Macaca mulatta: one gene and its partners. The protein of the gene in region 3 purifies or fractionates together with the protein of the main gene of each other region. This does not show direct contact. Links are inferred from orthologs where the notes say so. Each region holds a gene or a part of one and is shown on either strand. Other genes may lie near its edges. The genes, in order: TLK1, MMS22L, ASF1B, UBN1, CABIN1, IPO4 and H3-4.

Region 1 (3,500 bases), on a different chromosome or scaffold from region 3:
ATGAACAAACTACAGTTATACTCATCAAAGTGGACGACTCTATGATATATAACATTCAGTGAAAACAAGCTGGGCAAAAGGGTCCATACCGGAAAATTTCATTTAACGTTCAAAAACCAAATGAAATAATATATTGTTAAGAATGTAAGCACATATTTAATACAACCATAAAGAAACACCAAGGCATGACAAACACAAAATTTAAAATAGTGGTTAAATGGTAAATGGATGTGAGAAAGTAAGTATGACAGGATCAGGAAAAAGACACACTGGATGTTTTAAAGGTACTGACAAACACAGTAGGATCACAGGTGTTGGTTTTATTGAGTTTCTATACCAGTAGTTCTCAATTCTGGCTTACATTAGAATTATCCAGGAGAGCCTTTAAAACTACCAATGTCCAAGCCCACATCATGTCATCAACTTGATCAGAACCTCTCAGGGTAGAGTTCAGGCATTAGTTCTTTCACCCTTCCCAACTGGTGAGTCTAAGGAGCATCAAGGGTAAGAACTGCTGCTTTAAACCCTTACATTATAAGTATACTTCTAGATGTATTTTTAAATAAAGCTTCCATTAAAAATCCTTCAGAACTGCAGCAGTTACTTCATCCTATCGGTATCAGATGTCAGGCATATAGTAAAATCAAAAACTTTAACATGAAATGGCTATTTGTGTTACGGTTGTTGGTCACATAAATGTTATTAACTTCCTTCCAGTTCTCCAACAGTTTCTCAATTCCCAATTTACTGAAGATCTAATAAAATATTTCACTTTAAAATTGGTATTTTCAATCACGTACTTAAATTAACAGAAAAAGCTTACTGAGTTCTAGTTACAGTATTTTTTTTTTCTGAGACAGTCTCACTCTGTCGCCAGGCAGGAGTGCAGTGGTGCGATCTCAACTCACTGCAACCTCCACCCCCCAGGTTCAAGCGATTCTCTTGCCTCAGCCTCCCGAGTAGCTGGGACTACAGGCGTGCGCCACCACGCCCAGCTAATTTTTGTATTTTTAGTAGAGACGGGGTTTCACCATGTTGGCCAGGATGCTCTCGATCTCTTGACCTTGTGATCTGCCCACCTCGACCTCCCAAAGTGCTGGGATTACAGGCATAAGCCACCGCGCCCAGCCTAGCTACAGATTTTTTTTTTGCAATGCTAAGTATTTTCTGAACAGTTTGACTGTTGCCAAATAATTTATTCAATTTTTTCCCCTCTATGACTCATTACTTACCCTGAGCAAATCATCTATACGTCCCTCCTTCTTTTCCAGGTCCTGGATTTTATTACTTTCTAATGCTGCTAATTTCAGCATTGTGAGATCAGTCTAAATGAAAAAAGTTATTTTATTATCTCCATTATATATGTTGTTTCAAGCAAACACAAAACCAGACTTTACTCCAAATTCAAAAGGTAAAGAAAAATATATTTGTGTGCATATGTAAAGTGAATCTCAAAAAGTTTTAGTGCAGTTTTAATAACTTCAAATGTATAAACGCTACAGACTTACCAAGAAACATCTAGAAAGGTCAATTACTTAGAATATTGATGTCCCACATTACAATTCAATATATCCGCTGCTTTGTGCTATACGTTCCTCTAGCTGATTTTTTTGAATTTTGCAAAACCTGTTTTAAATTGATAAGTAAAAACCTATCTATTTATGGTATACAACACAATGTTTTGATATATGTTTACATTGTGGAATGGCTAAATCAAGTTATTTAACACATATCTTTTTTTCGTGGTGTGAACACTTAAAATCTACTCTCTTAGCAATTTTCATATACACAAAATACTGTTTTTAACTGTAGCCCCCATGATGTATAATAGTTCCCTTGAACTTATTCTTTCTAACTAAAATTTTATGTCCTTTGACCAACATCTCATGCAGCAAAACCTTTCATGATCTACTCAGTGGATGAAGGAATGTACTTGTAATCCTAGCCTCAGGATCATCCAAAGAAAGAGGTTTTGATACATGCACAACAGTTTGGATATGACCTCACAAATAAAATCTAATGGAAATAAACTGGCAAGCTGAGGTTGAAGAGTAATATTTACTCTACTCTTCCAAACCCCAGTCTGAGAAAGTGCCATTCAGAAACTACCACACGTAAAAAATTAAAATGAAGAACTTAGTGCTCAAAATTCATGAAACTAAGTAAGTGTAGAAAATATACAAATAATTCAAATAATTTTTATAGTTTGTCACATATATGTATTTACATACATACAGTCAAATGAGCGGCTTTAATGTACACTTACAAAAAATACAGCAGTTTCACAATATATCAATTACATATACTTGGAAATTAAGTTCAGAAAGAATCAGTAAACAGAAGTGACATGTTATGGTTGTTTAAAAAGCTGATAGTAAATTGTGTTTCAGTTTCTCACTCCTTCCTACAAATTCCGTTGTTTTTGTTTAGTAATTACTGTTATCTTTCTCGATGTGTAATTCTGCTTTATGACTACATATAAAACAAACAGACATCTCAGTTGTTAGTAAGTTAGTCAATGGTTTCTTAGAAGCCATGGGAAAAAAACATTTTAATTATCATTTACCTGAATAATTTTAAAGGATAACTGCTTTGGTTGTATAATAGGGTGGTCCCCAAATGCTAATGCAGTAGGAGAAGGGCTATTCGGTCGAACCTAAAAAAATTATTAAAAATTTTATATTAGCAAAAAAAAAAAAAAACAGGTTTCTAATTAGCAACAATTACTTAACATTTCTGCAGAAGTTTCTATCAGAATAATACCTACATTGAAACATAAGTGACTTTTAGAAAACTTTAATCACCATTTATTCAACAAGCATTCATTAAGTACCTCCTACATAAGACCCAGTGAGAAATACAATATATTCCCTGCCCTCATGGAGCTTACATTCTAGTGCTATAAAAGAAATCTTAATGCTTTCGTACTGTTTAAAAAAAAAAAAAAAAAAAAGGCCAAATAAATTATTCTGGAAAATATTAAAAATTTATTAGGATAGTTCAAAAAACAAACTTAGTACTAGGGACAATAATACATGCCCTTATGTAGTTTAATATCAATTTATTAATGAATTTCATAGTTTATCTGGTCACTAGTTCAAAAATACACTCACTGAAAGCAGATTATAACATTGTATCAATGCTATCACTACAACTCTTAAAGTTACTGTTGAATCTTATGCCTTACTTTATACACAGCAATGTGATATCCTCAAAGGTACAAAATGAGTAAGACACAACCAAGTATGTCTAAAGACAAAGACAAGAAGGGGACACAAGAAATAAAAACAAGGTGCTTGAATAAATAAGTGAAACTCTGATTCTTTAAATTACTGAAAACCAATATTGTTTTCCTAGTTAGATACTGAACTTTCACACAATGAAAGTAAATTTAAAAATGAAATCCAATATGCAAAACAATGCATATAAAAGAACTATATCTAAAACGTTAGCAATAAACCAAAAAGTTTAAGATAATTTTAAGTCCGTGATTCTTTATC
Region 2 (4,210 bases), on a different chromosome or scaffold from region 3:
TCCTGCCTCAGCCTCCCGAGTAGCTGGGACTACAGGCGCGCACCACAACGCCCAGGTAATTTTTGTATTTTTAGTAGGAAGGGGTTTCACCATGTTGGTCAGGCTGGTCTCAAACTCCCAACCTCGTGGTCTGCCCGCCTCGGCCTCCCAAAGTGCTGGGATTACAAGCATGAGCCACCGTGCCTAGCTGTCCTCATCGTTTTTAAAAAGCCCATATTTTTAAGAAATTCATACTCAAGTATTTATGGGTGAAATGACATGATACCTAGGATTTGCTTACAAGTCAGTCAAAAGAATCAAAAGAAGAGGAGACAAGACATATGAAGGAAATGTAATAAAAAGTTGTTGTTTACTGCAACTGAAGGAGGGTATATGGATGTTCATTATATTATTTTGTGTATGCTTAAATTTTTTCATTAAAAAAATTTTTAATGTTGTCCAAATAGAGAATTAATATTTCTATTACACAATCTAAACTATTTATTTGGAAAGATCATACTCTAAAGATCACTGAAACACTATGGCTATTGAACAACAAAAGTATTTTAATTTTCTTCCAAAATCATAGTTCAAAGCCTTAAATATTTGTCAATACATGAAGTCAAATGCAAAGAATAAAGATTCTGAAAATAAAACACAACTCATTAAAACCATTATTCATCAGGTGTTGCTGCTTGATTACCGTTACTGGTAAGATAATCAAGTGAGCAACCTGCACAATTCTCCTGGTCTTTTGCAGTATCAGTATTAGAAGCCACCCAACAATGTAATTTACACAAGTGAACAACACCTACACTCACAGAAAGTTAAAACGAAGAAATACCTGAATAAATGAAAGAGCTCTCTAGATGAATTCACTAATGCTGTTTCAGTAACCCACTGAATGCCAAATATTTCTAAGGTGTCTTCTTCAAAATTAGTTGGTAAAGGATCAAGATTCAAAATCAATCTGAAATGAAAATTATGTTTTAATCCCATTAAAAAGTAAACTAAGTACCATACCTTTACATTATTTGAATCCATATTATACATGACATGTATAAAAAGTCAGAAAATGCCTTGGTACTTTACACATTCAAGATTACAATAGCTAGACTGTATTAAAATGTCAATCTTCTATATTGATAAAATGTACAACTAAAGTGTAATGTAAATTAAGAGGAAAAATCAACACGGGTTCTAAAACACATATTTCTGCCTGTCTTCACCAGTAGTCTTCAGTTGTAGAATTTTATCCTCCGAGGGGACATTTAATTGTTGAAACTGCTAACAGTTACTCTGAGCCTTATCTGGAGAACAGTATCCAATTAATGAAGTTGGGTATTCTATTTAAGGTCTCTCACAACGTACAACTATAAAGTCAACAAAAACAGTTTCCTGACTGAAACTGCCTCAGCAGGTATTACCAAAATATTTCAAGAACAGCAGTTTTACTGTAATATGTATGTACCTGCCCGAAGCAAAATAGGTAGAATTAAAAGGAACGGGGCAATAAAAAAAATGTTTGTCTTTCTTAAAAATTACTGGAAAGCTCTAGAATATTATCACACCCTTTAGAAGGAAATACCATTTCAAAAGGCTCAGACAGTTAGGAATTCACTTTAAGTAAAAGAAAAATTAGCGCCCAGCTCCCTACAGTAAGGGCACATCAGTTACCAAGGAAGTTTTCCCTAATACCCCAAATGCTTTAGATATGCCCTTACCAAGAAGCCAGCAGCAGAACTGATAATCATTTGTACCCTTATGATATACTAAGCTGATTTATACAACATGATTTGGTGAACACCCAAGTTAAATGGGCTGAAGTAACTAACATTCCTAAAAAACTGGCGAATAATCAGATGAGGGAAAATGTCTCTGAGCTTTACCTACCGCTTAAGGGCTCCGCTGCAAAGGTAGGATTCTCCAGAAAAATGTTTTCCTTCTCCTCTGTTGTCAACAGCACAAGAAAAGTAAGGAGGTTTGCACCATTCTGTGCCCAGCTCCAGCTCTAAACTGTCAGTCAGGAACGTCGATGCGGCAGAACAGTTTTCCATTGTTTACTTCATGTTCTGAAATGTTTGGGGTTCGTCGTATCATTAAGGGCTCCAAAGAGAAGGTGTGAAGAAATTCCTGTAGGTGGGGGCCGAGAGACTGGGGGTTACTTCAGAAAGTTCCCAGGACGTCCGCCAGCAGCAAGGAAAAACGAACAAACCCAGAAGCCAAATTCCCAATCCTCCCCTGCCGCTCCGCCCCTCAAGGCTGCCAGAACTTAAGACAAAATGCACAACCAACTGGCTGTGGCAGGGACTTCAAAATCAGCCCACTAGGTCGGACTGTGCAGCCCAGGACAAGGTGAAAAGCAAAGAAATGTCTGCAGAACAGAGCGTCCCGGGCTCGCCTAGAACTTCGCCCTCCGCAAGGTTTCTAAACCACTCTCCGCCCGTTTCCTAGCAGCAAGGTGGAGAACGCTCCCTCCCCGGCTCGGGGTGGAAACCAGGAAACCAGTCCCTAGAGCCAACCTCAACCCTTCAAGGAGGCGAGACCCACCAGGCCCATGCCCGGCAGCACTCGGGCGGAGAAGGCTGGGTGCCAGTATCCCGCGCACCCGGCTGCAACAAGGACCCGGTGCGTCGGTTACCCGAGGTGCCTGTCGTACCTGCTCACACTTCCAGCTTCCGAAATCTACCTCCTGTGACCCATACCACCACTAGGAATCTGTGGGGTCTAAACCGCAAACAAGCGAAATTCCCGCCACCGCGCGCCCGCGCTCCGGAAAGGCGGGGCCACGGCGCAGCCCTCCCCCGGCTACCAATCGCCTCGCGATATCTGCGCGGAAACAGTCGGAGCTCCACGAATTCTCGCGAGAGTCAGTCAACCCGGGACAAGGTACAGATAAACTTTTTTTTTTTTTTTTTTTTTTGTACCTTTAATTGGTGCGTTCGACTGGAAGGAGGGGCCTGGTAAAAAAAAAAAAAACGGAACTGCTGCTGAGGCGGAGGAGAGGAGGATTTAAGGACTACGGGTTTATCCTCTGGCTAAAGGGAAGAGATTTACTCCAGTGAGTGCGAAGTGAGTGCCTGGTTCACACCTACAGTCGCGCCGTCCCCTCTTCCCGCTCTGGGGCCAGCAACTCTTGTTAGAATGCAGGATGCCTTTTGTCCACGGACTGTGAGGCAGGCAAGTGCAACAGTAAATTTTCTCTGTAACTGATGGAACAAGTAGACAGAAAGTTAGTATGGATATGGAAAACTTGGAAAGCCCTATTAACCGACTTGACCTAATTGACGTTTATAGGTGACCAACCCAACAATAGCAGAATACACACTCTTGGCAAGTGCACATGAAACATTCACTAAGCGAGACCACATTCCGAGCCATAAAACAAACGTCATCAACTTTAAAAGGACTTAAATCGTACAAAGTATATAGTCTGATCATAATGGCGTTAAACTAGAAATAAAAAAATAGATAACTGAAAAACTCTAATTTTGGAGATTAAGAATCATACTTGTGACTAACCTATGAATCAGGAAAAATCACAGGAAAATTAGAAAATACTTTCAATTAAAACGAAAACATTAAAATTTGTAATAGTACCTGGTTACATTAAAAAGAAGAAAGAACTCAACTCAATAAACTTTTGTCTTAAGTAACTAGAAAAAAACCACCAGCATATTGAAACCAAAACAAGCAAAATGAATGAAATAATAAATAGTTGAAATAAATGGAAGGAAATAAATGCAACCAAAAGTTGTTTTTTAAAAAGAGCAATATAATTGATAAACCCTCTACCCAGACTGATAAAATAAACACATTATCAGTATCAGGAATTAAAAAGGTTTCATCACTATGAAATTTAGTCATTAAAAGGACAAGGATATTAAAAGAACATTATGAACATTTTTATACCAATAAACATAGGTGAAATGGACAAATTCCTTAAAAGACAGAAACTCAAAACTCAAGAAGAAAATTTGAGTATCTCTGTATTTATCATAGTACTCAGAATCTTTGGTTAAGCCTCCCCCCTTCTCTCTCTCTCTCTCTCTCTCTCTCTCTCTCTCTCTCTCTCTCTCTCCACACACACACACACACACACACACACACACACACACACACACACACCACTTCTTACAAGAAAACTCCAGGCCAGAGCAGGCACAGTGGCTTTGGGAGGCTGAGGTGGGTGGATCCCTTGACACTGGGAGTTCCAGACCAGCCTGGGCAA
Region 3 (3,385 bases):
CATAGCTAGGCTTACAAAACAGAATTCCCTAATGGAGGTAGAGCTTCGTGCCCACCTCAGCATTCAGGACTGCACTGCCTGGCACTAAGTGTCAGATGGATGGAATAAGAATCTTCTAATATATTTAAGGTTCTGTTTAAAATTACCACAAGGCTGGGCACAGCAGCCCACACCTGTATTCCCAACATGGTGGGAGTCCGAGGCAGGAGGATCGCTTGAGCCCAGGAGGTTGAGGCTGCAGTGAGCCATGAACATACCACTGCACTCCAGCCTGGGCAACAGAGGGAGACTGCCTTGAAAAATAGTAAAAATAAAATACAAGATGTGGCTGGGCGCAGTGGCTCACACCTGTAATCCCACCACTTTGGAAGGCTGAGGCAGGCAGATCACTTGAAGTCAGGAGTTGGATACCAGCTTGGCCAACATGGTGAAACCCCATCTCTACTAAAAATACAAAAAAAAGCCGGGTACAGTGGCTCACACTTGTCATCCCAGCATTTTGGGAGGCCAAGACGGGTGGATCACCTGAGGTCAGGAGTTCTAAACCAGCCTGACCAACATGGTGAAACCCTCTCACTAAAAATACAAAAATTAGCCAGGCATGGTGGCAGGCGCCTATAATCACAGCTACTCGGGAGGCTGAGACAGGAGAATCACTTGAACCTGGGAGGCAGAGATTGTAGTGAGCCAAGATCACACCATTGCACTGCAGCCTGGGTGACGAGTGAAACTCCATCTCAAAAAAGAAAAAAAAAATTAGCTAGGTGTGGCAGCGGGCACCTATAATCCCAGCCACTCGGGAGGCCGAGGTACAAGAATCACTTGAATCTGGGAGGCGGAGGTTGCAGTGAGTCGAGATCGCATCACTGTACTCTAGCCTGGATGACAGAATGAGACTCCATCTCAAAAAAGAAAAATGAGGCCGGGCGCGGTGGCTCAAGCCTGTAATCCCAGCACTTTGGGAGGCCAAGACGGGCGGATCACGAGGTCAGGAGATCGAGACCATCCTGGCTAACACAGTGAAACCCCGTCTCTACTAAAAATACAAAAACTTAGCCGGGCGAGGTGGCAGGCGCCTGTAGTCCCAGCTACTCGGGAGGCTGAGGCAGGAGAATGGCGTGAACCCGGGAGGCGGAGCTTGCAGTGAGCTGAGATCCAGCCACTGCACTCCAGCCTGGGTGACAGAGCGAGACTCCGTCTCAAAAAAAAAAAAAAAAAAAGAAAAATGAATACAAGAGCCTTTCCCTGCCTTGTTGCTGTTGAGCTATTTCAATTCATTAACCCTCCTATGTCTTTGCAGACCTGGAGTGGAAGATCATTTATGTTGGCTCCGCTGAGAGTGAGGAGTTTGATCAGATCCTAGACTCGGTGCTGGTGGGCCCTGTACCAGCAGGGAGACACATGTTTGTCTTTCAGGTAAGAAAGATGAGGCCTTAGGCCTTTAGCTCTTGACTCCTAGAAACATCTTCTTTTACCTGAAATCCCACAGAGTGCTTCAGGAATCAAAAGTTCAAGTTCAGCTGGGCACAGAGGCTCACGCCTATAGACCCAGCTACTCCAGGGGCTGAGGTGAGAGGATTGCTTGAGCCCAGGAGTCCGAGCCTGCAGTGAACTATGATTGAGCCACTGCACTCCAGCCTAGACAACACAGTGAGACCCTGTCTCTAAAAAAAGGAAAAAACAAGTATTAAAAAAACAGAGGCCGGGTACAGTGGCTCACACCTGTAATCCCAGCACTTTGGGAGGCCAAGGTGGCAGGACTGCTTGAGGCCAGGAGTTTGAGACCAGCCTGGGCAATATAGTGAGACCCCAGCTCTACAAAAAACTTAAAAATCAGCACAGCATAGTGGTGTACGCCTGTAGTCTCAGCCACTTGGGAGGCTGAAATGGGAGGATCACTTGAACCTGGGAGGTGGAAGCTACAGTGAGCCAAGACCACACCGTTGCACTCCAGCCTGGGTAATACAGTGAGACTCTGTCTCAAAAAAAAAAAAAGAAAAGAAAAGAGTTGAGACCCTGTGTCAATCAATCAATTAAAAAAAAATTTTAAAGTTCAGGTTCAAATCCTAGTTCTACTGTCAGGAACTATCTGACCTCTCAGAGGCTCTCAGGCCCTCCCTTCCCCCACCTCTGTGTCAAAGCTGCCACTGATTTACAGTCAATTCTCGTTATTCACAAGAGTTATGTTCTATAAAGTTGCCGCGAACACTGATTTAGTGAGTACTGAACCATTGCCCCAGGGTAAATACAAGGTTAGATTGTTGGAAGTCACGTTTTCGTCAGCCAGTCAATACGTAAACTTGTATGTGTGTTGCTGTTGAAAGACACCAGGCCGGGTATGGTGGCACACACCTATAATCCCAGCACTTTGAGAGGCTGAGGTGGGTGGATCGCCTGAGGTCAGGGGTTCGAGACCAGCCTGGCCAACATGGTGAAACCGTATCTATACTAAAAATACAGAAATTAGCCAGGTGTGGTGGGAGAATCGCTTGAACCCGGGAGGTGGAGATTGCAGTGAGCTGAGATCACACCGGTACACTCCAGCCTGTGTGATATAGCGAGAGACTTATCTCAAAAAAAAAGAAAAAAAAAGACACCTTATTTAATATATACTGTGGTTCATTTATGTTGAATTCACAGCCAACAGCACTGTAACTCTCCTGAATGAAGCTTCTCTAATATACATTTTTTCCATAAGGCCTTTTTTGCACCCTACACTGCACTTCAGCACTACCTTTGGGTGCCATCATAGACAGCAAACTCACCAACAAAAAGCACAAAACATGGAAAAAAGGTAGCACTAAGTAGGCTGAGGAAAGGATGCTCATTCACAGTAAGAACTGAGACCAAAAGACAGAGCGTTGCCTTGTTTGACCTCAGGTAGGAACAGGCGTGGTAGGTAACTCTAGCTTTTCCCTGTTCTGTGCATGTCTGCAAGTGACCGTGGAAGCACCGCAGGTATTCATCTTGGGGTTACAAATAAATGTAGCAGGTAGGTGAACTTGCACATATGGATCCCATGAATAATGAATGAGGATAGACCGTAACTCCTAAGTGGCTCTCATGCAGCACCCTGCCTGAGTTGTCAAATGTAGATTCTGGCTGGGTGTGGTGGCTTCCAGCACTTTGGGAGGCAGAGGCAGGAGGATTGCTTAAGGCCAGGAGTTCCAGGCCAGCCTGGCCACATAGCAAGACCCCCATCTCTAGAAAAAATAAAAACAATTAGCTGGGTGTAGGCTGGGCGCGGTGGCTCACGCCTGTAATCCCAGCACTTGGGGAGGCCGAGGCGGGCGGATCATGAAGTCAGGAGATGGAGACCATCCTGGCTAACACGGTGAAACACCGTCTGTACTAAAAAATACAAAATAATTAGCTGGGTGTGGTG
Region 4 (3,500 bases), on a different chromosome or scaffold from region 3:
GCCTCAAAGGACAAACCAAAACAACAGCGACAAGGCAAAGACACCAAGACTCTTGGCAGTGGCAAAGCACCCAGGGGTGGAGAGGGCGAAGGCACATGGTGCACATGGCACACTGACCGTCGGGTGATTACCTGGCAGACTCTGCGGGATATGGGTGGGCACGGCAGCGTGTGGGAGAGGCGCTGCATGGGGCGGGCTGGAGTGCAAGCCAGCCAGAAGACCTGAGAGAAAACAGGAGGGGAGAAAAGAACAAAACACACACATTGAAGACAGGCACGGAAAAGCAGCTCCAGCAGGCAAGAGCCCCTGACAACCTGCCAGGCCAGTCTGGGCACCACACCCAAAGGGGCAGTGGGGGCTCAGCACAGTTCCCGGAGATGTTCCCCACAGTCACACACCAGACTCAAACAAAGGAACCAGAGTACATGACAGCAGGACCCCTGGCCACAATCTAGAGGTTCCCAAGTGACCAGAGGCAGCAAAGAAGCACTTACTGTGGCCAAGGCCATGGTGGAAGGGCCCAGGGGCAGGGCCTGTGACGATGGCATCCTTGGAGACCCCTGCTTTGGCAGAGGAGTCAGCGCTGAAGGAGAGCACATGGACAGGAATAGGGGTTATAATTCCCACGGTGTTCGAGCTCATGGCCCCAGACAGTTTTGGGCTGCTGGATTTGTAGGGTGAAGCCATCAAAGAGGAGCCAGTCAGCATCACAGTCCCACTCGCTCCTTTCTAGGGAAGAAACACAGCAAGAGGTAAGAACTCCAGTCCTGTTCATGGCTGACTCACACCAAACCTGGCAACACAAAGGAGGACACACACATCCATGTCAGCTGGCCCTCGGAGGCACCCTCCGACCCTGCAGCCCCAAAGACAGGACCCAGGACAGTCTTTATGAACCAACATGGAATGGATTCCAGGCAACATAATTTTTTAAAAAGCAGGATATTCAATATGTCTCCTACAGAGGTTGCAGTGAGCTGTGATCACGCTACTGCAGTCCAGCCTAGGTGACACAGCCAGACTGTGTCTCAAAAAAAAAACAAAAGCCTCCTTTGTGAAGGGAAAAATGTAATATACATATCCATAAATGTTCATGTGTATGTGTATATATATTTATGCACATACACATACATACATATATATATATATATATACCTTTGTATATATTTATTAATCTTTTGTTTAAAAAGAAAATAAACCAAAAACTAAAAAGCTTAGTTACCTTACAGGGGTGGTGGGTGCAGGAAAGGAGGTGAGACCTCCAACAGACCTTTCTATGATTTTGTCTTTGCAACCACTTCATTTATATATTAAAAAAACAGGCCGGGCGTGGTGGCTCACGCCTGTAATCCCAGCACTTGGGAGGCCGAGGCAGGCAGATCATGAGGTCAGGAGATTGAGACCATCCTGGCTAACACAGTGAAATCCCGTCTCTGCTAAAAATACAAAAGATTAGCGGGGCGCAGTGATAGGCTCCTGTAGTCCCAGCTACTCGGGAGGCTGAGGTAGGTGAATGACGTGAACCCCAGGAGGCGGCGCTTGCAGTTGAGCTGAGACAGCGCCACTGCAGTCCAGCCTGGGTGACAGAGCAAGACTCCATCTCAAAAAAAAAAAAAAAGAAAAGAAAAGAAAAAGAAAAAGAAAAAAAAAAATGCTCATTCCCTCTTCCCGAACCTGCTAAATTACTGGACTCTGTCCTTCAAAAATCAACAGAATCACTCTTAGAAGGTCCTGCTATTCCTGGTCCATGAACACCCCCACATGACTCCACTGAGAGAAGACTGCACCTCCATCGGCCTTGTTTAGAGAGACGGAGAGGCAAGGGGTCACAGAAGGCGAGTGCTGTGGCTCATTCTGTGCCACACAGACCCAGCCTCTGAAGAGGCATGGTGCTGGCTGTCTTTTAGCTCCCTTTGCCCTCTTCAGAAGAAGCTTTAGGCCATCCTGGGCTTCCTGTCACCAGAAAAGTGAATACCTGAGAACAGGGAGCCCAGTCTCCCGTCTCCCTTCCTACGTCTGAGCCCACTGTTCCTACCTGACCTGTGGTTTTAGATCTCTCTCTCCACCCGGGGCAAGGCAAGCAACCTCATCCCCAAGGCCCCTGTGAGTGGGGCAGGGCAGGCTGCTATGCCGGATACTCACTGACAAGGAGGTAGACGATGTCACACCACTGACTGAAGAAGGTACGGGCGCGGTCAGCAACTTTGCCACTCCCTGGGTCCCTCCACTGGAATCTCCGTTTGGACCGCCTGGAGGCGCTACCAGGGTCAACTTCTGGGAAACAGGCATTTTTTTCCCTGTTGAGCTTGGGACGGGTCGGCTGGTGGCCTGTCCCACGGAGGGAGGCTGTATGCCAGGGACCAGGCTCCCAGAAGCAGAACTCTGGACTGGTGTTCCTCCCGAGGAAGAGCTGCCAGAAGAAACCCCATGTTTGGAGACAGAGCTGGCAAAGGGATTATTCTTGTAAGATGAGCCTGCAGAACTGACTGAGTGTGGCTTTGCTGGATGGCTCAGGGCAGAAGAGGACGAGGCTGGGGTCTTGTGAGAGCTGCTGCTGGAGGCTGGCAGGCCTCCTGAGGTGGCTGGGGCAGAGGGATGGAAGCCCTGGCCTTTGGCCGCTGTCTTCACTAACTGCAGGAAGGAACGATGACACTGTGGGGGAGAAGCCTTTGGGCCTTGGAGCTTATTGGCAAACGGAGATGGGGGCGTGAAGTTTTTCTGTTGCTGAGTGCCGGCATGAAAGACTTTGACCTGGGGGCCAGGCACGGGAACTGCCACTTGGGGCACGTGAGACGTCCGTGGCAAGCTGTGGTGCTTTGCTTTGGACTGATGTACTTCTGGCAGGCCCTTATTGAGGGGAGCCTGGCAGGACAGCTCTTTGTAGCCAGAACTCTCTGGTTTTTTCTCCTGAGAGGACTGCCCCAGTGCCAGAGCCTGTTCTGCCAGAAAATTGAGGGGTGACTGCAGAGAGCTAGCTGGTGGTGGAGCAGAAGGACTGGGCTTCACAAAGTTCCTTTTTTCTTCTGCACATAAAACACCTCCAACTTTTTCTGCAGGTGCTTTTGAGGGTGCAGGCAGTGTGAATTCAGAGTTCCCAGCTGCTCTGCTATTCAATGCAGCCAATTCCTTGGACACAGCTTCCACAGAGGAGGCTGGATTGCGGATCAACTCTTCATCCAACGAGTCCTCCACGTTGACAGGAGGAGGGTTAGCAAGGCCGCCCGATGCCTGGGATGGGAGCTCCCTGCTCGAGGCCCCAATACTCAGGCCTCCTGTCTGGTGATCTGAGGGCAAAGCAATGGGGCCACCAACCTGTCCTGATGGGACAGAAACCTTTTTATCAGGCTTCGTAGACGATTCCTAAAGGAAAACAGAAATGCTGATGTTTAGAAAGGTCCAAAGATGTCAACATTGGCCTGTGGTGAGGATATAAACGTGAACTTGAGGCGCAAAAAACTAGGTCTTCCTGTATAATTACAAAACAAGCGGTAGGAGAGAGC
Region 5 (3,500 bases), on a different chromosome or scaffold from region 3:
GGTCATTAGGGCCTCCTCCCCACCACTCTCCTCCACACCCTGGGAGGGGACTGCTGGGGCCTGGCCTGGCGTCGCCCAGCAGCAGGTAACCTGAAAGGTAAGGACCTGGGTCCCCTTGCTCTGGCCACCCCCATAACCCAGGCTGTATCTTCCAAGGTCTCTGACGGAAACTTCTGCCCACCCAGCCCTCAGGGGCCCTGATATGCATGTCCTTGGCAAAATGGGGTCTGGCCCTGCCCTGACTCCTGCCAGCTCAGCACCCCTTTCTTCTCACACTATGGTGTGGGGTTGTGGGGGGGTTTCCTGTGTGGATCTATTTTTTAAGGACATCAAAAGCAGAAACAGCTCTCCTGTCTCCTGAGTGGTCACCACTCACATGTCCACCTGCTTCACCTGGGCCAGTGGAGGAGGCACGGCACCCTGGTGGACCTGGGCCTGGGCCCAGCACTGGGGCCCAGGCAGCTGTGCTATGCACTCTGCCCAGCTGGACAATGAAATGGTGGGGACTGCTGGGGTTTGGGGCACTCCCTGCCAAGGACTCTGGCCCTTAGCTGGGGACCAGGCCCACCTACTCCCCACAGCATGCCCTGTCTGGCCCACAGCCTGCTTGGTCAAAGCTGAACCTCCCAGGCTTCCGCTGACGTAACAGCCCAGGCAGGTGGTGGGGGCCTGAGGCCCCATTCCACTGAGAGGAAGCCTGTCTGGACCCAAAAGGCAGCTACCAACCCTCTGCTAGGGGACCTGGAACAAAGGGACCTGGGGTGATGCTACCCGGGGCATCGGGCCACCCCTGGGGACAAGAGGCTGCACCTACTCAAATGGCATGCCACCAAACCTCTGGCTTGGAGGCTTATGTTTTAGACAGAGCACACCTGCTCTCTCTGCCTGCCATGTCTGCCCCTCCCTGCCTCATCCTCTCACTGAGATCTGATCCCATCCCTCCCACTTCTTCGGTCGTGGAGACCCCACCCCAACTCATAGCCAGACCCTGCCCACTGGCTTCAAGCTGGACTTCTCCCATGGAGACTTCTCTCCTCCAGACCCAGCACCTTACCTGCTCCTGCTCAAGCCCTTTCCAGCCTCATCACTTCTCAAAAATAGCCCTGGCCCCTGGGTTCCCATATCCATCAGGCCCCCATCCTCACTGCCCTGGCATTGCTGACCAGCTGGCCCCTGGGAACACTCTCCTTCCTGGCTACTTCCCTGTCCTGCCCAAGTCTCTTCTCTGTGCCTGTGACCTGGCCAAGGTCCTTGGCCCTGCCTGTGTCCTCTTCTGGCCTCTGATGGCTTCAGGGGCACTTACCCCAGGTCTCTGGCCTGGACTGCCCCTCCAGGTGGGGGCCCCTGACCTTCCTGACCACTTGGCCTCTCTCTCTTAAAAGAGTCTCAGACTCAACACAAACCCAATCTCAACCCTGGCTTGGGGTCCTCCCAGGAGGGGCCTCCCCCACTCCCTACTCTCTGCCATATCTTGGACCCTGCCCCAGCCCTGGCCTGGCCCCTGAACCAACCCCTTCTTCCCCACTTAGGAGCGTGGCTGCCTTGCTTTCTCCCTGCTTAATAAACTCCAGGACTCCTGCCTACCCTCTCTTAGGACACCTTGCTCCCTACATGCCCTCCCCTCATGGAGGGGGGGGTCCCTGTGTAGGCTGCATCTCCACCTTTACCCAGCCACCTGGCTCCTAACCAGCCTGGCTCTAACATTGTTTCTTCTACTACTGTCCCAGAAGGAATGACCTTCCCAGGTGAGGTCAGCTGGCTAGGGGTCATCCTCCTTGATAGAGAAAAGGTGGCTGAGGTGAGGAGACCCCTCGGCATGTCTGAACTGGGGTCTAGGCCCTGTCAAGTTCCCGCCCACCATGGCCATGGGCTGGAGGCTCAGCTGACCCCTGCTCATCTCCCCTTGGCCCAAGCTGACCACCACAATAACAGTCCCAAAAGTGGAACTATTTCTCAGCCTGCATCCTAGGGCCTTGACATGGAGCAGGCTCCGCAAGATGAGGCTGGCACAGGCTAAATTGGGCTTACCTGTCTCTGGGCGGCAGCCCCAAGATGGACCTGGCAGAACTTCACAGCCTGCTCCAGCGCAGCCTCCTCATCCACCTTAACAGCGAGATGCCGGAGGTCAGGGGGCCCAGGCCATTGTGGTGAGCCTCCCCCAGCCCTGTCTGTGTATGTAGCACGGACCAGCCTAGGTAGGGGGCATGCCCTGTGGCTCGGGTGCCCCCCACCACCCCAGACTCCACTGAAGAGCCAGTTGTCCCCACTGCTGTCCACACCCGGACCCCTACCTCCCAGCTCTTCATGGGTAGCAGGGGCAGGTGCCCATCCATCTTCCAGGTGGGGGTGCCTGTTCAGGTGCCACAGCACCAGGTACTGGTGCCAGGACTAGACCCAGCCGTTCCTCTGAGCCCATCTGGCTATACCAAGCTCATTTCTATGGCTGAGTTACTTACATCCTCACAAGCTGAAGCTGGCAGGCAGACTCAGGGCTCCAACCAAGCCTTCAAATTCAGCTGAGGCTCAGCTGCTAGGGGATGAGGGGAGTCTTCTGAGCTAAAACCTGCCCCGTAAGTGGGCAGGATAGAGGGCCATGATTAGAGTGGGAGAGGCCTTTTAGAATCCCAGGCCTGATGGAGATCGCCCCATGCTGTGTCAAGTGTGTCTGGAGATTCAGTGCCCAAGGTCCATATGATATGGGGCAGTTGGGGCTGGGGTGCATTGCAAACTGACATGATTAGAGGGAATACTGTATGTCAGGGATGGTCATCCCATCTGAGCCAGTCACTAAAGTTTTGGAGATTCTTCCTATGGGAATAATTTTAAACGGAGAAAAAGGAAAGTGCTTGATATATTAAAATAAAATGTTTTAAAAAAGAAGGCAAAATGAGAAGGGGATCTCTGGTCACTGCAGCCATCTTTAGATGACAGCCACAGAAGTCTTGAAGGAAATGCCCTAAGATGCGCCCAGAGGCCCGTAACAGCGGTGGGAGCAGCGGTCCAGACTCCCTGCGCTGGTTGTGATAAGGTTTCTGAGATAGGCTCTCACTTCCTTCCAGGCTGAATATCAACTTTTTAAAGCTCATTGCAGAATGTAAACAGTGGGGAATGGGGTGGGAAGAACACCTAAAACCCAGCTCAAGGGCAGGCCCGGGAGACCCTCCTTGAGAATAGAAAGGCAAGAGTGGGGATGCTACCAGCACACAAGTGCCCCCAGGCCTCTGCCCGCCGCCCACCTGCTTGATGAGCATGTAGGTCTCCGACATGATCCTCTCCACACGGCCAAGGTCGTAGGCCACACCCTTCTGGCCCTGCTGCCACACACGGTAGGCATCCAGTAGAAGTGTCTTGCCTGACTCCGTGTCCTCCAGGAGCTTCCTCTTGCGGCTGAGCCGGGGGAGCGGCTCCTCGGGGTGGCCCCCTGCCCTGGTCCCTATGGTGGTGGCAGGGGCGGGGGCTGGCTGGGCTGGGGTGAGCGGGGTGGGCTGCTGCCGGGCACT
Region 6 (4,280 bases), on a different chromosome or scaffold from region 3:
GAGCCTGCCCATTCCTGTGGAAATAGACCTTCACACCTCCCAGGGTCTAAACGTCCTTGGCCTCAGGGGACTAGGCACACTTGGAGGTAGGGACACCAGAAGGACAGAGCCACACTTACCAGCTGGGGACACAGCTTGTCGGGGGGCAGGTGTAGCGCCAGCATGTCCACAACCTAAGATAGGATGGGGAGACTTACTTTGCTCGACTCCATCTCTGCCTCCCCAACCTCCCACAGCCACCTAACACCTTCCCCCTCTGTCCTGCCCCACATCTCACCTGTACAGCAAAATGCTTGGGAGTCTCCCCCATCAGCTCAATCTCCAACTCTTCCTCTTCTGAATCCTGGTCCTCAGGATCCAACTGGCCTGGCAGGGGCTCAGCAGCCATAATGGGGAAAAGGGTGTGTAGCAAGGGTGGCAGGAGACGATTCTTCAGTAAGGCCTTGACAGAGAAGGTGGAACAGTGTCCCTAAGAATCTGCTCCCAGGATGGGCTCACATTAAAAATTCCAGTCTTCCAGGCCATAAAAGGTCCGACAGAAAATTCCCAATCTCCCAGGCAGGAGCTGGGGTGAGGCTAGGCCAAGGCTTGAACCCCCACAGTACTTTAGATACCCTGAGATGAACCGAAAGTCCCAGGAGTGAGACTAAGGGTAGAGAGTGGGTGGGGTGATGTGTGTCAATGGGCACTCACTCACCTTGCTCTTGACTTTGACCAAGAAAGTGAGGCAGCAGAGAACACGTACGCGTATCGCATTGCCCAGGGCCACATTTCTAGCCACCTGTCCAGAGAATAATAAGAATCAGAGACAGGGAAGGAAAGTCCCAACAGAGCATGTAGCAGGGGCCATGTCCACTCCAGGCTCACCTCCAGGCAGAATGTGAGGACCTCAGAGAGGTAGGGGGTGATGATGGGCACCTCTGACTCCAACAGTTCATCCAAAACCTCAAGGGCCTCACAGGCCTTTGCCTGACAAACAAGGCACAAGGTTACCATGCTCTTCTTCAGTGGGCCAAGCTGGTCACTTTTGCACTCTTCTTCCAACAGAGCTCCTGCCCACCTGTCCTCACCTCATCTATGGGGATCAGAGTCTGCACAGCCACGATCAGCTTGGGCACCAACATCCGAGCGAGAGGCTGAGGGACACATCACAGACAGCATGATGCAGCCTAATCTCACACCCCAGCAGCTGACAGCTTCCTCATAGCCTGAATTGCGAGGAGGAGCCCAGACATAATAGCCAGGCCCACCTACAGCATCCCCTCTCAATTGTCAGGAAGGGCCACAGGCAGGTAAAGAATCCAAAGCAGTTTTGTAACTTTTACAGATGAGGACATGAAGGCCTGAGGAAAGGGAGTCAAAGATACGAGGGCCCACATCTCACCACGTCTTCAGTGCTGAGGTAGGGGGCCATGGTGGTCAGAGTGCGCAGGGAGTAGAAGAGCAGCCCAGGAGAGCCCACCTCACCAAGAGTCTCATTCAGAAGCCGAAGCAGCTCCCGGTGGTGGGGTTGGAAGGCCTCGGGCCGGGAGGTCACCACCACACTTAGCAGCAAAAGCCCCATCTGTCCAAGAATAGAGGATTGGAGAGCAAGCTTACATGGTCTATCCCACCTCTTAGTCCCTCCCTCCTGCCAACCATGTGATGGTACCTCTCTCTCTGGGCTGTGGGGGCTGTGGGTACTGTGCTGAAGAAGCTGCAAAAGCTGTGGCCAGGCCTCCAGGCCTTCCTTTCGAAAAATGGTGGCTGAAAGCTGGGCCAGGCTGAGGCTCACACAGTGCCTGCAAACAGGAGAGATCTCCTCTATCACTCTCCAATACCTTCCTCTGCACACAGTGGCCAGGCACAATGGGGCAGCCAGGAGAGAAACTTTCAGGAGGTGTGGGCACAGGGTCTTTACCAAGTTGGGACACATGAGACAGCAGCTCAGAGGGAGCCCAGCAGCACTGCGGGCATGTAATCTGGTAAGTTCAGTCTTACTAGCCTGAATTTCAGTCTTATTCTTCTGACTCGAGTTTGGCAGATCATAGTCACCCTTCCTCAAGAACTTCAGTCTTCAAAACAGCCTTAAAATTTTCGCTCCACCTTGGGTCTAGAACTGAAGTCCCTGCCCCACAAGTCCCAGCCTGGAACTGAAAGGGAAGGCAGAAACCCCGACAAGGTCGTCAGGATCCCGAGAAAAGGGGGTAGGTACTTACTCTGTTTCTCTCTGCAGGGCCGTCAGGATCAGGGACTTGAGGCTGGAACACAGTGGGCAGGTGTTTGGTACACAGACTGCCCAAGAAAAGTCTCCGCCTGGCCCCGCCCCAACCCAGGCCCAACCCACCTCTCCCGTTGCTCCGCCGCCAGCCGTCGCCAGCGGGTGTTCAGTCGTCTGCGGGTCAGCACCGCCGCAAACTGGCGGATCTAGGACGAGGAAACAAGCACGTGGGGGTCCGGGCAGGAGGGTGCTGAGCGGACCGCAGGGGGCGGATATTGGGGCTTGACCAGTGGCGTACAGTGGGAAGCTCGGAGGGGAGAGTCAGGGGTCTCACCTGGGGGTCGGCCGCCGAGGCCAGCAGGTCGCAGAGAGCCGGCAAAGCGGCGGGGGCCCGAAGAGCGATCTGGAGCTGTTCCGTGGCCTGGGGGGAAGCTAGGGGTGAGAGTCGGGTCTTTCCCGCAACCTCCCGCTCGCCCTGGCCCGGTTATGCCTACTCCCGTACCCGACGGATGCGCTCGGTGTCCGGCAGCAGCAGCTCCCGTAGGAGCTGCTCCAGGCCGGCGGGCTCCATGGCAGCAGCTGAGCCGCCGCTACTGGGCCGAAAAGGGGAGGGGGAGGGACAGCACGTGGAGGCGCTGACACCCACTTCCGGCGGAAAGGGCGTTGCCACACGCCCCGAGGGTTGCCAAGGTGATTCAATTCACTTCCCACAAAGAGGTCCGACTCCTCCACTTCCGTTATGCTGAGCACCGGCTGAGTCGCGGAAACCCAGCTCTGGCAATGTAGGTTCCCCACGCCGGGAGTTCCCAAGTTGGGTTGGAGAACTCAAGCTTCGGGCATTCAGTGGCCAGCTCGGCTTTCTAAAGGACCGTGCCCTTAACCGCGGGGCTGGAGTTCCTATATCCAGACCAAAACCTCCAACTACATGATCCTTTTTCTTAACAAATTTTATTTTGATAATTGTAAAAAGAAAAATCAGGACCAAAACTAAAGGCAACTTAAAAATTTCAAATATATACTCCTTATGTAATAGAGATTTATAATTTCCAGGCCCTCTCTGGGGAAGGAAGGCCCAAAGGGCAAAGGGGAAGGCAACAATGCCATCACACAATTCAGTCAATCAGAAGAGAAGCTGGTAGGAGAGCTCAAGGAGGCATGAAGAAAGGGAGAGAACAGCAATACTTCTGCCACACAGAACTCAGTCCATCTTGAGGTTAACATAGATATACCGGATGAACTTTAGGGAAGAAAAAAAGGAGATGGTGCCCAGCATGAGGAAGAAGACATAACCAGTGAGTAAGGAGTAGCCAAAGAACTCTACTGTCTGTACTGCCCCAGACATGTTGGAGCGCCGGGCATAATAGAAAACTGAGTAGAGAAAGATGAAGAGGCCAGTGGAGCCAACACTCAGCACAGATCGCCACCACCAGCGGTAATCCTCCCCAGACAACTGGAAGTAGGTGAGTGCAATGGAGATGCAAGCCCCCACACTCAGCAGGATGGCGAAGACAAAGAAGAGGATGCCGTACAAAGTGTACTGCTCCCGACCCCATACTGTGGCAAAGATGTAGTACAGCTCTACAGAGATGGCACTGTGAAGAAAAGAGATGATACACAGCATTAAAGGGCTGTGCACAGTGGCTGGGCTGAAATCCAGCCCCCACCCTCTCCCATGTTGCTGGGTCATTGTGAAAAGTGAGTTCACTCCACTCTCTGCCCCAGATCTCCTGGCTTCATGGGGATTTTTTGCCTATGATTAGCTGCTCTCACTTCAAGAATATCTTCCCTAATAGATTGAGGGCAGGGATCTTATCCATTTTACTTTCCACTTCATTCTTTGCCTGGCACAAAGAGGTATTCAACAAAGTAAATGGATCATCAAATGGGCTTTAAACCCCACATGATGTCCACAGACACTAAAGTCAGAAACCAGGAAGGTGAAGGGGGAGATGTCTCTGGAGGCCCTTATAAGTGAGACATTCTTATATCTGAACTGATTCAAGCTCAGTCCTGCTTGGAGATAGGAGGAACCATTTAATGATCTCTGAATGGTACCACTGAACCAGGGATCAGCAGGTTG
Region 7 (3,437 bases), on a different chromosome or scaffold from region 3:
CCCCTAGCCAGCCTTCTAACCTAATGGGAGATAGCCCAAGTTAACAAGATATACAACTAGCCAGCTTTCTAAATTAACAGGAGGTAGGCTGAGTTAACACACACAAGTAGCTGGACTTTGTTTTTTTTTTTTTTTTTTTTTTTGGTTTTGAGACTGAGTCTCGCTCTGTTGCCCATGCTGGAGTGCAGTGGCATGATCTTGGCTCACTGCAACATCTGTCTCCTGGGTTCAAGCAGTTCTCCTGCCTCAGCCTCCCAAGTAGCTGGGATTACGGGCATGTGCCACCACACCTGGCTAATTTTTGTCTTTTTAGTAGAGATGGGGTTTCACCATGTTGGCCAGGCAGGTCTGGAACTCCTGACCTCAGGTGATCCACCCGCCTTGGCCTCCCAAAGTGCTGGGATTACAGACCTGAGCTGCCACGCTGGTGAAGTAGCTGGACTTCTAACTGAAAATAGGCCAAGATAACACATACTACTTGCTGGCCTTAACAGGCTGTCTAGGTAGGAGACTAGCTGGACTGGTAACCTCACTGGAAAGAAGCTGTGTGTACACACACACACACACACGCAGGACTTGTAACAGTTTGAAAGAGGCTGAGCTGAGAACACACAAGACCAGCCAGCCTTCCAACCTAACTGTAGATAGGCTGAGTTGACACAACTAGCTGGGGTTGCTTACCTAACTGCAGATAGGCCAGTTACGCTACCCTCAACACCCCGTCCCCAAACAGACCAACCATGATTCTTATCTAAAGGGATAGACCAAGTTAGCACCACACACGACTAGCTGGACTTGTAACTGGAGACAGGCTGGGAGGTAACGCGCATGAGTAGCTGGCCTCCTAACTGGACAGGGTGAACACAGGATTCGCCAGCCTCCCACCCTAATCAGAATTAGGTAAGCCAGCACCGGCCAGCGGAAGGAACCCCCAAAACCCAAGAGCCTGGCTTGCTACAGCAACTCTTCCGACCAGGTGGGTGGCTCTTAAAAGAGCCTTTGGGGTGAACGTTGCGCAACCTCTCAGGTGGCGAGATGGCCCTCCTAGGCCCGCTCCCCACGGATACGGCGTGCCAGCTGGATGTCCTTGGGCATGATGGTGACCCGTTTGGCGTGGATGGCACACAGGTTGGTGTCCTCGAACAGCCCAACCAGGTAAGACTCGCACGCCTCCTGCAGCGCCATCACGGCCGAGCTCTGGAAGCGCAGGTCGGTCTTAAAGTCCTGAGCGATCTCGCGCACCAGCCGCTGGAAGGGCAGCTTGCGGATTAGCAGCTCAGTGGACTTCTGGTAGCGGCGGATCTCGCGAAGCGCCACTGTGCCAGGTCGGTAGCGGTGCGGCTTCTTCACGCCGCCAGTGGCGGGTGCGCTCTTGCGAGCCACCTTAGTGGCCAGCTGCTTGCGTGGCGCCTTGCCACCCGTCGACTTGCGCGCAGTCTGCTTGGTTCGGGCCATGAATTTGAAACTGTTGTCTCTGCTGTGTCCTCTGACCAGACCTAAGCTGATTGCCCGCTTTTATAGAGCTTGCCGCGTTTTCATTGGCTGGCCTCAGGTGGCGTGATGGCCCCCTACTCTCTGATTGGTCCACAGGGCACGCCACTCGGCCGCCTCTCCCTTATATTAGTGCTTGTTGGTCGTGGCCACCAGAGCTAGCACCAGCATTGTGAAGGGTTGATGCGGGTAGGCCACGGCGGTGGAGATCATCTCTCTCCAGCACAAGCTTCCTCGTGTCTCCTCAGCAATCCTCTTCTCCCTTCCTCATGACTTGGGTGGGAAGAGCCTTCCGAAAGCCAGCATGCGGCATTCCACTTTTTTTAAAAATTAATTTTAAAAAAATTTTTTGAGATGGAGTTTAACTCTTGTTGCCCAGGCTGGAGTGCAATGGCGCGATCTCTGCTCACTGCAACCTCTACCTCCCAGGTTCAAGCGATTCTTCTGCCTCAGCCTACCAAGTAACTGGGATTACAGGGATTACAGGTATCCACCACAAAGAGATGGGTTTTCACCATATTGGCCAGGCTGGTCTCAAACTCCTGACCTCAGGTGATCCACCTGCCTCGGCCTCCCAAAGTGCTGGGATTACAGGCATGAGCCACCAGGCCCAGCTGGCATTCCACTTTTTTTTTTTTTTTTTGAGACGGAGTCTCGCTCTGTTACCCAGGCTGGAGTGCAGTGGCGCAATCCCGGCTCACTGCAAGCTCCGCCTCCAGGGTTCAGGCAATTCTCCTGCCTCAGCCTCCCAAATAGCTGGGACTACAGGCGCCCACCACCACACCCGGCTAATTTTGTTTTGTATTTTTAGTAGAGACAGGGTTTCACCATGTTAGCCAGGATGATCTCGATCTCCTGACCTCGTGATCCACCTGCCTCAGCCTCCCAAAATGCTGGGATTACAGGCGTGAGCCACCGCGCCCAGCCGGCATTCCACTTTTACACAGTGATACAGCTCTGGGATCCAACCAGAGTTAAAGGAGTCTTCCACTTTTTATGACCTGCAAAGAACTCCCTTTGCTGTATGGCTCAGATGAGCCTTAGGATGCTGAAGAAGGTAAAGATATGCCTTTCTGGCATATTAACTCTTTTGAGATAAAGGCACTTAAAAAAAAAAAAAAAAAAAAAAAGAGGCAGGTGTAGGAAGATCATTCTGAATTTCTTGTTGTTTCTTAAAGGCAAGAAATAGAATTCCCCTATGAAAGATGTTCTCCTTATAGTAAAAGGAAGGGAACGTTCTTATCATCAAGGACCAGAAGGTGGAAGCTTCCAAATCTCCTCCAACTCTGAAGCTGAAATTTGATCCCTAAAGTTGGAGCCGGGGCTCAGTGGGAGGTGTGTGGGTCCTGGAGGTGTCACCCTCTGAATAGAGTCCTGCCCTCCTTTAGGGTGAGTTCTCACTCTGTTGGTTCCCTGAAGAGCTGGTTGTTGAAAAGAGCCTGGCACTCCCCTCCCCTCTCTTTCTGGCTTCCTCTCTTGTGCAGTCCTGTGACCTCTGCACACACATGGGTTCCCCTTCACCTTCCACCATGAGCAGAAGCAGCCAGAGGCCCTCACCAGAAGCAGAGGTGGGCCCTATACTTGCTTCCTTCCATTCTCCCTCCCTCCCTTCCTTTCTCTCTCCCTCCCTCCCTTCTTCGCTCCCTTTCTTCCTTCCTTCCTTTCCTTTCTTTTTATCTTCTTCCCTCCCCTCCCCTCCTCTCTTTCTTTTTTCAGTCTTGCTCTGTTGCCCAGGCCCCTCCTACCTCAGCCTCCCAAGTAGCTGGGACCACATCCAGCTAATTTTTAAATTTTTTGGAGAGATGGGCTGTCATTATGTTGACCAAGCTGGTCTTGAATTCCTGAGTTCAACTGATCCCCCGACCTTGGCCTCCCAAAGTGCTAGGATTACAGGCTTGAGCCACCATGCTGGGCCACCGTGCTTTTTTTGTTTTTTTGACCTGAGT

What was found.
Region 1: the proteins of ASF1B (region 3) and TLK1 purify together in Homo sapiens (co-immunoprecipitation; 3 studies listed by BioGRID and IntAct, counting the BioPlex papers as one, with this or other methods). This does not show direct contact. The link is inferred for Macaca mulatta from reciprocal best matches to the Homo sapiens genes ASF1B and TLK1.
Region 2: the proteins of ASF1B (region 3) and MMS22L purify together in Homo sapiens (co-immunoprecipitation; 4 studies listed by BioGRID and IntAct, counting the BioPlex papers as one, with this or other methods). This does not show direct contact. The link is inferred for Macaca mulatta from reciprocal best matches to the Homo sapiens genes ASF1B and MMS22L.
Region 4: the proteins of ASF1B (region 3) and UBN1 purify together in Homo sapiens (affinity purification with mass spectrometry; 3 studies listed by BioGRID and IntAct, counting the BioPlex papers as one, with this or other methods). This does not show direct contact. The link is inferred for Macaca mulatta from reciprocal best matches to the Homo sapiens genes ASF1B and UBN1.
Region 5: the proteins of ASF1B (region 3) and CABIN1 purify together in Homo sapiens (affinity purification with mass spectrometry; 3 studies listed by BioGRID and IntAct, counting the BioPlex papers as one, with this or other methods). This does not show direct contact. The link is inferred for Macaca mulatta from reciprocal best matches to the Homo sapiens genes ASF1B and CABIN1.
Region 6: the proteins of ASF1B (region 3) and IPO4 purify together in Homo sapiens (affinity purification with mass spectrometry; 5 studies listed by BioGRID and IntAct, counting the BioPlex papers as one, with this or other methods). This does not show direct contact. The link is inferred for Macaca mulatta from reciprocal best matches to the Homo sapiens genes ASF1B and IPO4.
Region 7: the proteins of ASF1B (region 3) and H3-4 purify together in Homo sapiens (affinity purification with western blotting; 3 studies listed by BioGRID, with this or other methods). This does not show direct contact. The link is inferred for Macaca mulatta from reciprocal best matches to the Homo sapiens genes ASF1B and H3-4.

The regions. Positions count from the first base shown.
Region 1 is NC_133417.1:76,010,108-76,013,607, forward strand, and holds part of TLK1 (serine/threonine-protein kinase tousled-like 1), read right to left. Parts: intron 2,657-3,500; coding exon 2,567-2,656; intron 1,326-2,566; coding exon 1,233-1,325; intron 1-1,232. UniProt on the Homo sapiens protein: Rapidly and transiently inhibited by phosphorylation following the generation of DNA double-stranded breaks during S-phase. This is cell cycle checkpoint and ATM-pathway dependent and appears to regulate processes involved in chromatin assembly.
Region 2 is NC_133409.1:88,588,266-88,592,475, reverse strand, and holds the start of MMS22L (protein MMS22-like), read right to left. Parts: upstream 2,801-4,210; 5' UTR 2,639-2,800; intron 2,466-2,638; exon of another isoform or gene 2,113-2,465; 5' UTR 2,037-2,112; coding exon 1,873-2,036; intron 950-1,872; coding exon 824-949; intron 1-823. UniProt on the Homo sapiens protein: Component of the MMS22L-TONSL complex, a complex that promotes homologous recombination-mediated repair of double-strand breaks (DSBs) at stalled or collapsed replication forks.
Region 3 is NC_133424.1:14,711,295-14,714,679, reverse strand, and holds part of ASF1B (histone chaperone ASF1B), read left to right. Parts: exon of another isoform or gene 1-760; intron 761-1,300; coding exon 1,301-1,416; intron 1,417-3,385. UniProt on the Homo sapiens protein: Histone chaperone that facilitates histone deposition and histone exchange and removal during nucleosome assembly and disassembly. Cooperates with chromatin assembly factor 1 (CAF-1) to promote replication-dependent chromatin assembly.
Region 4 is NC_133425.1:6,139,999-6,143,498, reverse strand, and holds part of UBN1 (ubinuclein-1), read right to left. Parts: intron 3,361-3,500; coding exon 2,143-3,360; intron 730-2,142; coding exon 495-729; intron 222-494; coding exon 132-221; intron 1-131. UniProt on the Homo sapiens protein: Acts as a novel regulator of senescence. Involved in the formation of senescence-associated heterochromatin foci (SAHF), which represses expression of proliferation-promoting genes. Binds to proliferation-promoting genes.
Region 5 is NC_133415.1:28,349,091-28,352,590, reverse strand, and holds part of CABIN1 (calcineurin-binding protein cabin-1), read right to left. Parts: coding exon 3,237-3,500; intron 2,104-3,236; coding exon 2,029-2,103; intron 1-2,028. UniProt on the Homo sapiens protein: May be required for replication-independent chromatin assembly. May serve as a negative regulator of T-cell receptor (TCR) signaling via inhibition of calcineurin. Inhibition of activated calcineurin is dependent on both PKC and calcium signals.
Region 6 is NC_133412.1:97,305,763-97,310,042, forward strand, and holds the start of IPO4 (importin-4), read right to left. Parts: upstream 2,801-4,280; 5' UTR 2,772-2,800; coding exon 2,703-2,771; intron 2,622-2,702; coding exon 2,535-2,621; intron 2,407-2,534; coding exon 2,327-2,406; intron 2,241-2,326; coding exon 2,199-2,240; intron 1,782-2,198; coding exon 1,652-1,781; intron 1,565-1,651; coding exon 1,385-1,564; intron 1,137-1,384; coding exon 1,071-1,136; intron 970-1,070; coding exon 868-969; coding exon of another isoform or gene 857-867; intron 782-856; coding exon 698-781; intron 443-697; coding exon 278-442; intron 174-277; coding exon 120-173; intron 1-119. Other genes in the region: TM9SF1 (transmembrane 9 superfamily member 1 precursor), read right to left, coding at 3,399-3,792. UniProt on the Homo sapiens protein: Nuclear transport receptor that mediates nuclear import of proteins, such as histones, RPS3A, TNP2 and VDR. Serves as receptor for nuclear localization signals (NLS) in cargo substrates.
Region 7 is NC_133406.1:86,178,103-86,181,539, forward strand, and holds H3-4 (histone H3.1), read right to left. Parts: upstream 2,170-3,437; 5' UTR 1,456-2,169; coding exon 1,045-1,455; 3' UTR 501-1,044; downstream 1-500. UniProt on the Homo sapiens protein: Core component of nucleosome. Nucleosomes wrap and compact DNA into chromatin, limiting DNA accessibility to the cellular machineries which require DNA as a template.